Drosophila melanogaster: one gene and its partner. The protein of the gene in region 1 interacts with the protein of each later gene in a pairwise test. Each region holds a gene or a part of one and is shown on either strand. Other genes may lie near its edges. The genes, in order: HLH4C and CG14965.

Region 1 (4,970 bases):
ATCCCTGGAACGCACCCTCATTGGCCAGCACATCGTGAGGCAGCATATCGTCCCCGCACTGAAGGCGCACATCGCTTCGGGCAATAAGTCACGGAAACCGCTGGTCATCAGCTTTCACGGCCAGCCCGGTACGGGCAAGAATTTTGTGGCTGAGCAAATTGCAGATGCTATGTATTTGAAGGGCTCCAGGTCGAACTATGTAACCAAGTATCTCGGACAAGCTGACTTTCCCAAGGAAAGTGAGGTGTCTAACTATAGGGTGAAAATCAATAATGCGGTGCGCGATACCTTGCGTAGCTGCCCGAGATCTTTGTTCATCTTCGACGAGGTGGATAAAATGCCCAGCGGAGTATTCGACCAGCTCACCTCGCTGGTGGACTACAACGCCTTTGTCGATGGCACGGATAACACAAAGGCAATCTTCATCTTTCTCTCGAACACGGCGGGCAGTCATATAGCCAGTCATCTGGGTAGTGTGATGAAGAATGGTAGGCTGCGCGAGGACACACGACTGAGTGACTTTGAGCCCCTTTTGCGGAAGGCCGCCTATAACATGGATGGCGGTATGAAAAAGACCACCATGATTGAGTCTCATGTTATCGATCATTTCATTCCGTTCCTGCCGATGGAGAAGGCGCATGTGATCAAGTGCCTGGAGGCGGAGCTTTTAAGGTGGCGGCGCGATCCTAAGCAAGCGAACAACCAAAAAATCATTGAGGACATAATAAACTCCTCCATTAGTTACGATCGCACGCACAGCTTGTTCGCCATTTCGGGCTGCAAGACGCTGGAGAAGAAGGTGGCCATGGCCATTTACTGAGAAAGGACCGACCGACTCCACATTTTAATGCTTAGTTTGGGTTTCGGTTTGTATTTAAAAAACTATTTTTTCGGAATAAAGAAAACAAATTTTAACTACCAGGGATTTAGCCACTTGAGGCGGGCATCTTTGCGCAGCAGATCGGTATCCAGTCGCTTGGGCTGCTCGTCGTAATCCTGGCGAGCCGCCAGGCGGGTATCGATGGGTCCCAGGTCCTTGGTTACCAGGCACTCGCCGTTCTCCTTGAGTATCGTATGCCGGACATCCTGGGCAGTGGGCTCTCCGTAGGGGAACGTGACCGGCGTAACCTTAATTAGATGCTTGATCTTCCACAGGCGGGCATTGTTCTCCGGTATGTTCTTGACGACAGTAAAATCGCTCTGCTTTCCGTCTAGTCCCAGATCTTTGAGGATTCGATTCTCCCAGTAGGGATTGCCCTTTAGCGGCTTGATGCGCTGCACCCGGAAAAGTTTCGCCGGCTCCACGGGTGGATCCTGGTGATCGGGAGTCCTGAGCGGGATAGATTTAGCATTAACAAATGCTGGATTTCGTGTGTTTTCCTTTTATACACTGCACACGTGAATACGAACCTGGGATAGTAGGTGATACCCTCAAATTTCTGGCCATTTTTGTAGAGGAACTTCTTGTTGTGCTTTCCGTAGCTGCGCACCGAACATGCGGTGCTCCTCAGTGGATTCAGCAGCCTTCCCAGGTTCATCTTAATTGTTTTCCCCCCTTTGTAATAAAATTAAATGCAAAACGCTTATGAAATAATTGATGTTTCCCCGACGATAACGATTACACAGACATCTGGTTAACTAGTTGCCTATCGATGGGCAGCATGGATACTGCCGTTATGTAAACCAATGTTAACCGCTTGCTGTTAAGCGATACAATTCAAATGCAAAGGCGGCAAAGTTAAAAGTGATAATTTATCATGTACAAACTGAAGATAATTTATCATTTACAAACTGAAGATAGCGAAAACATTATCAATAAGATGGTAATATATATTCGTTGTTTTTTTTTTTAATATTTCAAGAATTAGTTGAGAAAAGAAAGTTTTTAGGTCATCGGATTACACAGCCTCCAGGGGATGATGTCCATTTCTGGAAAGGGGCGGTCTCATATCAAAATCTCCGCCATTTTGTCAGCTACAATTGGCGCTAATCGACGAGGGTGGATAACTTGGCATTGGCTGGCTTTCAACGCAATGGGGTTGTTTCCGATTTTGGTTATAAAGGAGGCTGCAGCTTCCCGACCGGAAGTCAGTTCCACGTGAGCATCCATCCGGCGAGCAACCGACTCTAGTGGCAAGCAAGGATATCTGCCAGACAACTCAAGGATCTAGAATAACTCTGCACCTGTGATAACTGCTGTAAGTTCAGGCAACAAAGCCCAAAAATTGTGAGCAATGCAAATGAAGTGAATGTACTAGCGAGTAGAATAATCAAATTAAAGATACAAATAGCTGAATGAAGTCTCTAGTTCGTTTAAAATTATATCTAGAAATTTGTTAATTAGCTAACTTGACCATGTGCACGCACTCGACATGTGTAAGTGTACTGGAGTTTCATAGTCTTGAGGGGACTTGAGTTACACGACAAGTTCTTAAAACTAGATCGGATTTCCATCATCCCATGGGATCAATAGACACGTCTTCGACTTGATGCAATTCCAGTGACACTTTTTGGACCCAAAACCCATTAAATCAATAGATATAAAATCATACGTTAACCGCAACAATACAAAAAAGGGTGGCCAAGCCTAAGGGGTTGGCATCGCTGAGGTTTGCCAACTCCCGCGGGCAAATAAACGTGCCGATTGTTCAGCTATTTGTGTAGGTGTGAAAATATGCTGCGAATAAACAATACACGCACAATGCCGACAATAAGCACAATAAGTACAATAAAAATAAATGAAAATAATAGCAAACGCAAACAGAATGCAGCGAAAAAGGGGTGTGTCCTTCATCGGCAAGGACGACACACACACACACGGACACCCTTCATCACAAATGTCCACAAATGAAGCATAAATAATTCGAGTGCAAGGATTATGATTTCTTCAACGCCTATTGTAACCTTTTTTTTTTCAATAGCATGAGCGCTCCACCGCAAAGGTAGCCACACTTTTCGTCTTCCTTGAGTTTGAAATGCAGATCTGTGAAGCAATCAAGTACACATTTCGTTGTATTCATAGTCTAAGCTGTGCATCCTCTTGCTTCCATTTCCATTTCCAGCATTCAGCAGCAGGCTGGGCAGCGCAAGAAAGTCCAGTGTCCAGCACCGAAATCAGTGGTGCAAATAGCCAGAGAATGGTCTACGATATGAGCCATATGGCGGCGGGTCCGCCGCAAAGCATTTCGCTTAGTCGCTACTATCTGGTCGACGATGATGAGATGATTGGGCCAAATAATCCGCATCTGGTCAACGAGGACTATGCGGCCAGTACGACGCTGGATATCGATAAGCGTTTTCAGGCGCGAATGGCGTGCGAAACGGCCGCACAACCGGCACCGCCACCGCCGCCCACGCCGGCGCCACGTCGCCGGACCACGCCCATTGCCCATTTGGATCCATCGGAATTGGTGGGTCTATCGCGGGAGGAGCGGCGTCGTCGCAGGCGAGCGACACTCAAATACCGAACGGCACATGCGACGCGGGAGCGTATACGGGTGGAGGCATTCAATGTTTCCTTTGCCGAGCTGCGCAAGCTGTTGCCCACATTGCCGCCGGACAAGAAGCTTTCCAAGATCGAGATCCTCAAGCTGGCCATCTGCTACATTGCCTATTTGAATCATGTGCTGGAGACGCCCTGAGATAGCGCCGGCGCCTCCAGTTTCGCCACCAGCTGCCTCTTTAACGAGGCCAATTTTTTCGCCCCCCCGTAGGAGGTGGGGGGGCGTGGCGGGCGGATTTAGGGGGAAAACATTGCGAATATTCCACATCCGATAAACGCATTTCACCATGCTCTGTAATCCGCACATCGCTCCATTGGATACTTTGCCGGTGGCGGCTATGGATAATGCGATTATCGAATTAGCCATCTCACCAACTTAACCGAAGTGTTCGATGGATTTTGCCGATTTGCTAACCTATTTAACCTATGGTTAAATACATACATTTTTTTGTTTTTTGTTTTTTTTTTTCCTTGCCACTGTTGAAAGACAAATGCCCGTCGTTTCGTTTCGATTCGTTTTTTTTTTTAGGCTTAGGTTTGTTTTCGTAGAAACAATTGTAAAGCCACGATTTAACCTAAGGTTAAAATATGCCCGTACTAAATGTAGAAGATATAAGCTATTAGTTTGTGTAATTTAATTGAAAAGTAGAAATATCGAAGGAAATAACAAAACTAAATATGCCAGTAGTACATACAATTAAATTTATGGGAAAGCAGTGCTTAATCCTCGGAGTAAACCTTGATCATGGTTTATATAATATAAATAACCAAGAAAAAAAAAACAGAACCTTAAACTAAGATCCATTTTTTGTCTAGCCTTTAAGTCGTGATATTTGTTTATACTCAAACGATTAATATATACAGCATTGTAATCGCAATAAAAAATTGTCTACTTTATGTATTTTGGCGCGCCTTTGCACGACACTCCCCTCGACTTTTGGACACCAGCTGCTCTGACTGAGTTTTCCATTTGTCTGAACGCTTTGCTCGGAAAAGCCAGATGCTAACAGTTCCCCCTTTTTCACCAACCTTCAAGAACCACGTATCCACGTATCAAAAGCGGGCGTGTCCTTTGCGCCAAGCCCCGCCCATTTGTGTAAAAGCGAAGTAGAGCAGCCTCTGTCATAATTTTCAAAAATTGAGGATACATTTTTATTTTTTTGTTTTAGAAACTGTGAAAGCGTCACGGAAATTTCGACTTTTGTGCAAAATTTCGAAATGGCCCTTCATTTTAGTGCACAGCAGGTAAGACAAATTTATTCTAGTCGATTGGGAGGCTGTTTTCAATATCCATAAATAGTGGCCTAATTTGGTTGGTACGGGTAACGGGTATATATATATATACATATATATATATTTGTGTGGATCCATGGATGTAAACATTTTCGCAATAATAATAACAACAAACGTGGCAATGGCAACCAACTCGATTCGGCGCCATCCTTTTCTATCCAGTGAAAAACGACTC
Region 2 (4,470 bases), on another chromosome or scaffold:
ACATCAGCTGAGCAATCTCAGCCTGGAATGCAAAGGTCTCTGCTTCTTCTGGCATCTGCAATGGATTTACAAAATCATTAGGATTAGTTATAGTCTGTGGGTTCAACACTAAGGAAAAGCAGCTGCATTTTCAGCAGCTGCTCCGGTTTTATTCTTTTTCTTTCTTTCTCTTTTGCACATGCCTCATTTAACATGCGCATATACAAGTACAGTGGTGGTCAAAATTATAGCATTCACTTTGCAACCCGTAAAATGGAATTTTAATTTCAATTAGCCAACAGAATTGATTTTAAGTTGCAAAATAATGTTTTAAATTTAAATATTTAAATATAATTATGCAAATTGGGTCGGTTGATAATTTTTCTACCCCTGCTGTGTGCAAACTCGTGTCTGTGTGAGTGAGCATTGCATTGAAAATTCGTACTTCACCAAGGAAGTTTGTGGAAGCATCTAGAAGCCAAAGGAAAACTAATTCGCCTAGCAAGTTGCTAGTAGCAACCAACCAATTAAAATAGAGCAAATAGGATTAAAAAACCGATTTAACAGAATTTGCTTACTGACGCCACATTTTTACTTGAAAGTATTAGTCATGGGCGTGCATGTGTGCGTATGCGGCATGTGCAATTTAAAATGGGAATGCAAAGAAAGCACGTGTAATTGTAAATGAAGGACAGTAATTTATAATTAAAAAGCCTATTTGGCACGCTGTTTAATTCATGCTAAAGCATAGAAACCTCTAGAACATTCTCGAGCGGCAAATGTGATTTGCGCATTGTCACCCCCTAAAAAGAGCGGCATAATTCGATTTAGCGCTAAAAGACCATTGCATTAAACAAAAATTAATCTTGTATTCTATAAACCACATGTAATTGTAAATAAAGGACAGTAATATATAATTAAAAGGCCTATTTGGCACGATGTTTAATTCATGCTAAAGCATAGAAACCTCTGGAAGATGCGTCCAAGCGACAAAAAATAAAAGAAACCGGCATTTTGAGTTAATTTGCACGTTGCCACCTCTTAATTAATCAAAAAAAATTCTTAAACTTGGCTCCTAGAAATTTAAAATCAATATCTCACATTTGGGTCAAGAACATTCGAGATGCACAGGACCACGCAAAATGCACATTTTGGCCATAGCCACTGATAAACTATTCACTCTTTTCTTGTAATTTGCATTACTCACCTTGTATGTATGTTTTTCGTTCTATTCACAGAATAAAGGTAAAAATACAGATATTTTCACTTTGCTTTGTATAGAATTGGAAATTCACAAAACTTTTCAGACGCTGCTTGTTGTTACGACGCACACCGTACGAAATTTTTTTCAAGACTCGAACCGGCAAACGCCGCGCGTCTGCTTTTATAGAAAAACCCGACCCGAACTGGAAGTCTCTAGAAACTTCTAGAGGCTTCTGGATGCCAGGGATGCAACTTCCTGTGAATACTAGGGTAGATCAGTGTTGTGATACGGTCGAAAAGTGCGCAACCTGTGCGGGCGAATTCAAAAATTATACTGAACTAAGTTTGGTGGAAATTCGTCTAAGTGGTCCGAACGATTGAGCAAAGCCCACTGGGATTGCTTAAAACATTACAATTGGATATCAAAACGCCCACTAGGCTTATACTGTAATTAGGAAAATGGAAAATTTAATTGTTCCCAATATTATTTTACTTGTTTTAACAGTAAATAATAAACAAATCAGCTTATGACCTGTTAATTTTTATTTATATTTATGAATACTTTTCTCCACCAGACTATCGATATTTCCAGAGTTTCAGAGACTTGGTGGTGCAAGCTGGTTCCTCTGGAATAAACTAGTTCCATTTTAAGCGGACGGTAAAATTTGAAATCACTTGAGTGGGTTTGGGGAACAAAAATTGGAAAGTTTTTGTTGTAATTAGCTAAAAAGCAGACATTTCACATTCCGGAAAATAATTGCTTCTGTGCAAAACCTGCTACAAGCCCAGTCAAGTAAAAAATCTCTCATTAATTAAGAAGTGTCATATCGATCATTTGGTTTCGGTCAATTCTGTTATCGATGCCTCCCATCGATATCACCAGCTGACGCTAACACTTCCACCACTAATAACATAAAAGTTGTTTGCTTATATTTAAACAAATGGGCGGCACTAAGTGTTGTTTTCGTGATTGTCCGGTGGGTTCTAGCCGCAACCCCAATATGCACTTCTTCAAGTTCCCCGTTAAGGATCCGAAGAGGTTGAAAGATTGGGTCAGGAATTGTTCAAACCCTGACGTTTCAAATGCACCGCCGTCCAAACTGGCAGCCAAAACAGTTTGTGCCCGGCACTTTCGAGCGGAATGCTTCATGAACTACAAAATGGACAGACTCATCCCAATGCAGACGCCCACTTTGTTCAGGATCAACAGGGATCTGGCACTAGACTATGAAAATCTCGACCAGAACGGTGAAGCTCTTCTCGTGAAGTTGACGCCTCCAAAGCAGCAACACCTAATACCACCTAAAGATTTCGAGTGTCCTCTGGGATTCGTGGATGGTGAGACACAGAATTTGGATGTTGTTAAGAAACGAAATACAGTAGAGTTGACAGAAGAGGAGGAACCGCAAGGGAAAGACGAAGCCGACGAAGTGCTGGCTACGGAGCAGGAACAGCCGGTTGTACACACGGAGAAAACAACGGTGGCGCATAAGAGTTCTACAACATCAACAAGCGCTTCGGCTATGCCTCAAAACATTCTAGATATCATAAGTCAACTTCAGCCTTCATTGGGCATCAAATTGATTAAAAGACCAGTAAAGCGTCAATCAGGAAGCGAGAATGAGTTGTTTCAGCTTGAAGAGCAGCTCCCAAAAGAACAAACTGATGATACAAGCAAGATGCGAACAGTCACCAAGGAATCAGAAAAGCAAATTAAATCAAAAAGTTGTATTATTGACGTTATGAAAATGCCAAAGCTTGCCGATAAATGTCAAGAAAAGCAAGTGCCAACTAGAAAAGAGTACCGACCAATTAAAGGGACTGTGGTTAGAAAACGTGGGATGCAGGAGGCAGATGCTGATAGACTGAACGAAGATGAATCCACCAAGGAGCAGGCTAAGAAAAGGAAGCTACCCCAAGAAGCACAAAAGACTGACTCCCACGCTTCACCTGAGAACGGTACGATATTGAACCGATATACACAATTGCAAGAGAAATTCTGGGATGAGCAGAAGACTCCGATGTTGGAGAAACCCACCCAATCCATCCAAATTAATCTTAGTTCTAGCAAAGAAAATAGTCAGAGTGATTCCATTTCCGAAACCTTATCTGAATCTTTTCTAAACCTTGAAGAGAACATACCACTTAGTACTGACAGTGAGGACGAGTCTGAACCAGATGAAAAACCATCTTCATCGGAAGATGCCCATCGCGATAAGCTTCTTCAGGAGTACGATAAACTGCAGGCCGAGTTTGAAAAGCTGTCTGAGGAGAATGCCAAACTAAAACGACTGCAAGCGGAGTCCCCGTGGACTTCAGCTGCAATCAAACCCACTGCTCTTTCTCTAAGCAAACCCCAGCTATACATGGCAATAAAGAAATACGTGGGGCCCACGATGGCCGCATTGCTGCGCATGGAAATGTTCGGCGGCTCTGAGGAACGCACTTGGAAGGATGACGAGCGAGAGTTTGCCACCGAACTACTTCAACTGGGCGACGAGGTGTACAAGTACTGTTGCGACGAGTGGCGCTTCCGCCTGCCCTCGATGCGGATTGCACGCTCCTGGCTGGAGAAAAAAAATACGGAAAATTCGGAAGAGTTTCTAGACTTATAGTTTATTTTGCCATTATAGACTTGGCAATATAAGGGGTATTTTACTGATAAATTATTTTATATATTAGTTTTAAGCATAACATCAGTTCCGATGCATCTAATAAAGTAGGTGTATATAAAAAACGCTTTTAAATCCATTTACCCAAAACGAATTTTATTTAATAACAAAAGCAATATATTATTAGGCAAAATCATTTATTTATATCCAATAATTAGCGAGGCTAATTCAAGTGGCAGATGATGGAGTCATCAGTGGCCTTGGTGACGCAGATCTCCTGGGTGGAGGCGTCACAGAAGTAACCATCCGGGCAACTGCCCGTCACATTTGTGGGCGTTATGGCGCCAAAGCAGAAGGCGAAGGTTGAGCGCGAGGTGCAGGCGAAGGTGTAGTTGGGAGCACACTGGCCACAGCTATCAGTGTCGCCGCAACTGGCGGGATTCTCGCCCCTCTGGAAACAGATCACTGGCTGGTCCGTGCACACCAGGCCATCCGTGCAGACGAAGGTTTGGTTGGTATTCGGCTGAGTGGAGCCGAAGCACAAATTGTATGCGGTCTGGTTGATGCAGGAGGCTCCATTTGACTGGCATACATTACAGTCTGCCTGGATCCAAGCGATTGGAAAGGCCACCAAGGCAATCTGAAATGATATAAGGAATGTTGAGATACGACTTTG

What was found.
Region 2: the proteins of HLH4C (region 1) and CG14965 interact in a two-hybrid assay, tested with the Drosophila melanogaster proteins (2 studies listed by BioGRID).

Annotation. Positions count from the first base shown.
Region 1 is NC_004354.4:4,644,535-4,649,504, reverse strand, and holds HLH4C (helix loop helix protein 4C), read left to right. Parts: upstream 1-2,090; 5' UTR 2,091-2,198; intron 2,199-3,062; 5' UTR 3,063-3,137; coding exon 3,138-3,641; coding exon of another isoform or gene 3,642-3,713; 3' UTR 3,714-4,378; downstream 4,379-4,970. Other genes in the region: torsin, read left to right, coding at 1-820; mRpL30 (mitochondrial ribosomal protein L30), read right to left, coding at 916-1,330, 1,411-1,538; CG3062 (uncharacterized protein), read left to right, coding at 4,721-4,747.
Region 2 is NT_037436.4:3,190,084-3,194,553, reverse strand, and holds CG14965 (uncharacterized protein), read left to right. Parts: upstream 1-2,062; 5' UTR 2,063-2,123; coding exon 2,124-3,797; 3' UTR 3,798-3,932; downstream 3,933-4,470. Other genes in the region: Hsp83 (heat shock protein 83), read right to left, coding at 1-55; CG14958 (uncharacterized protein), read right to left, coding at 4,018-4,434.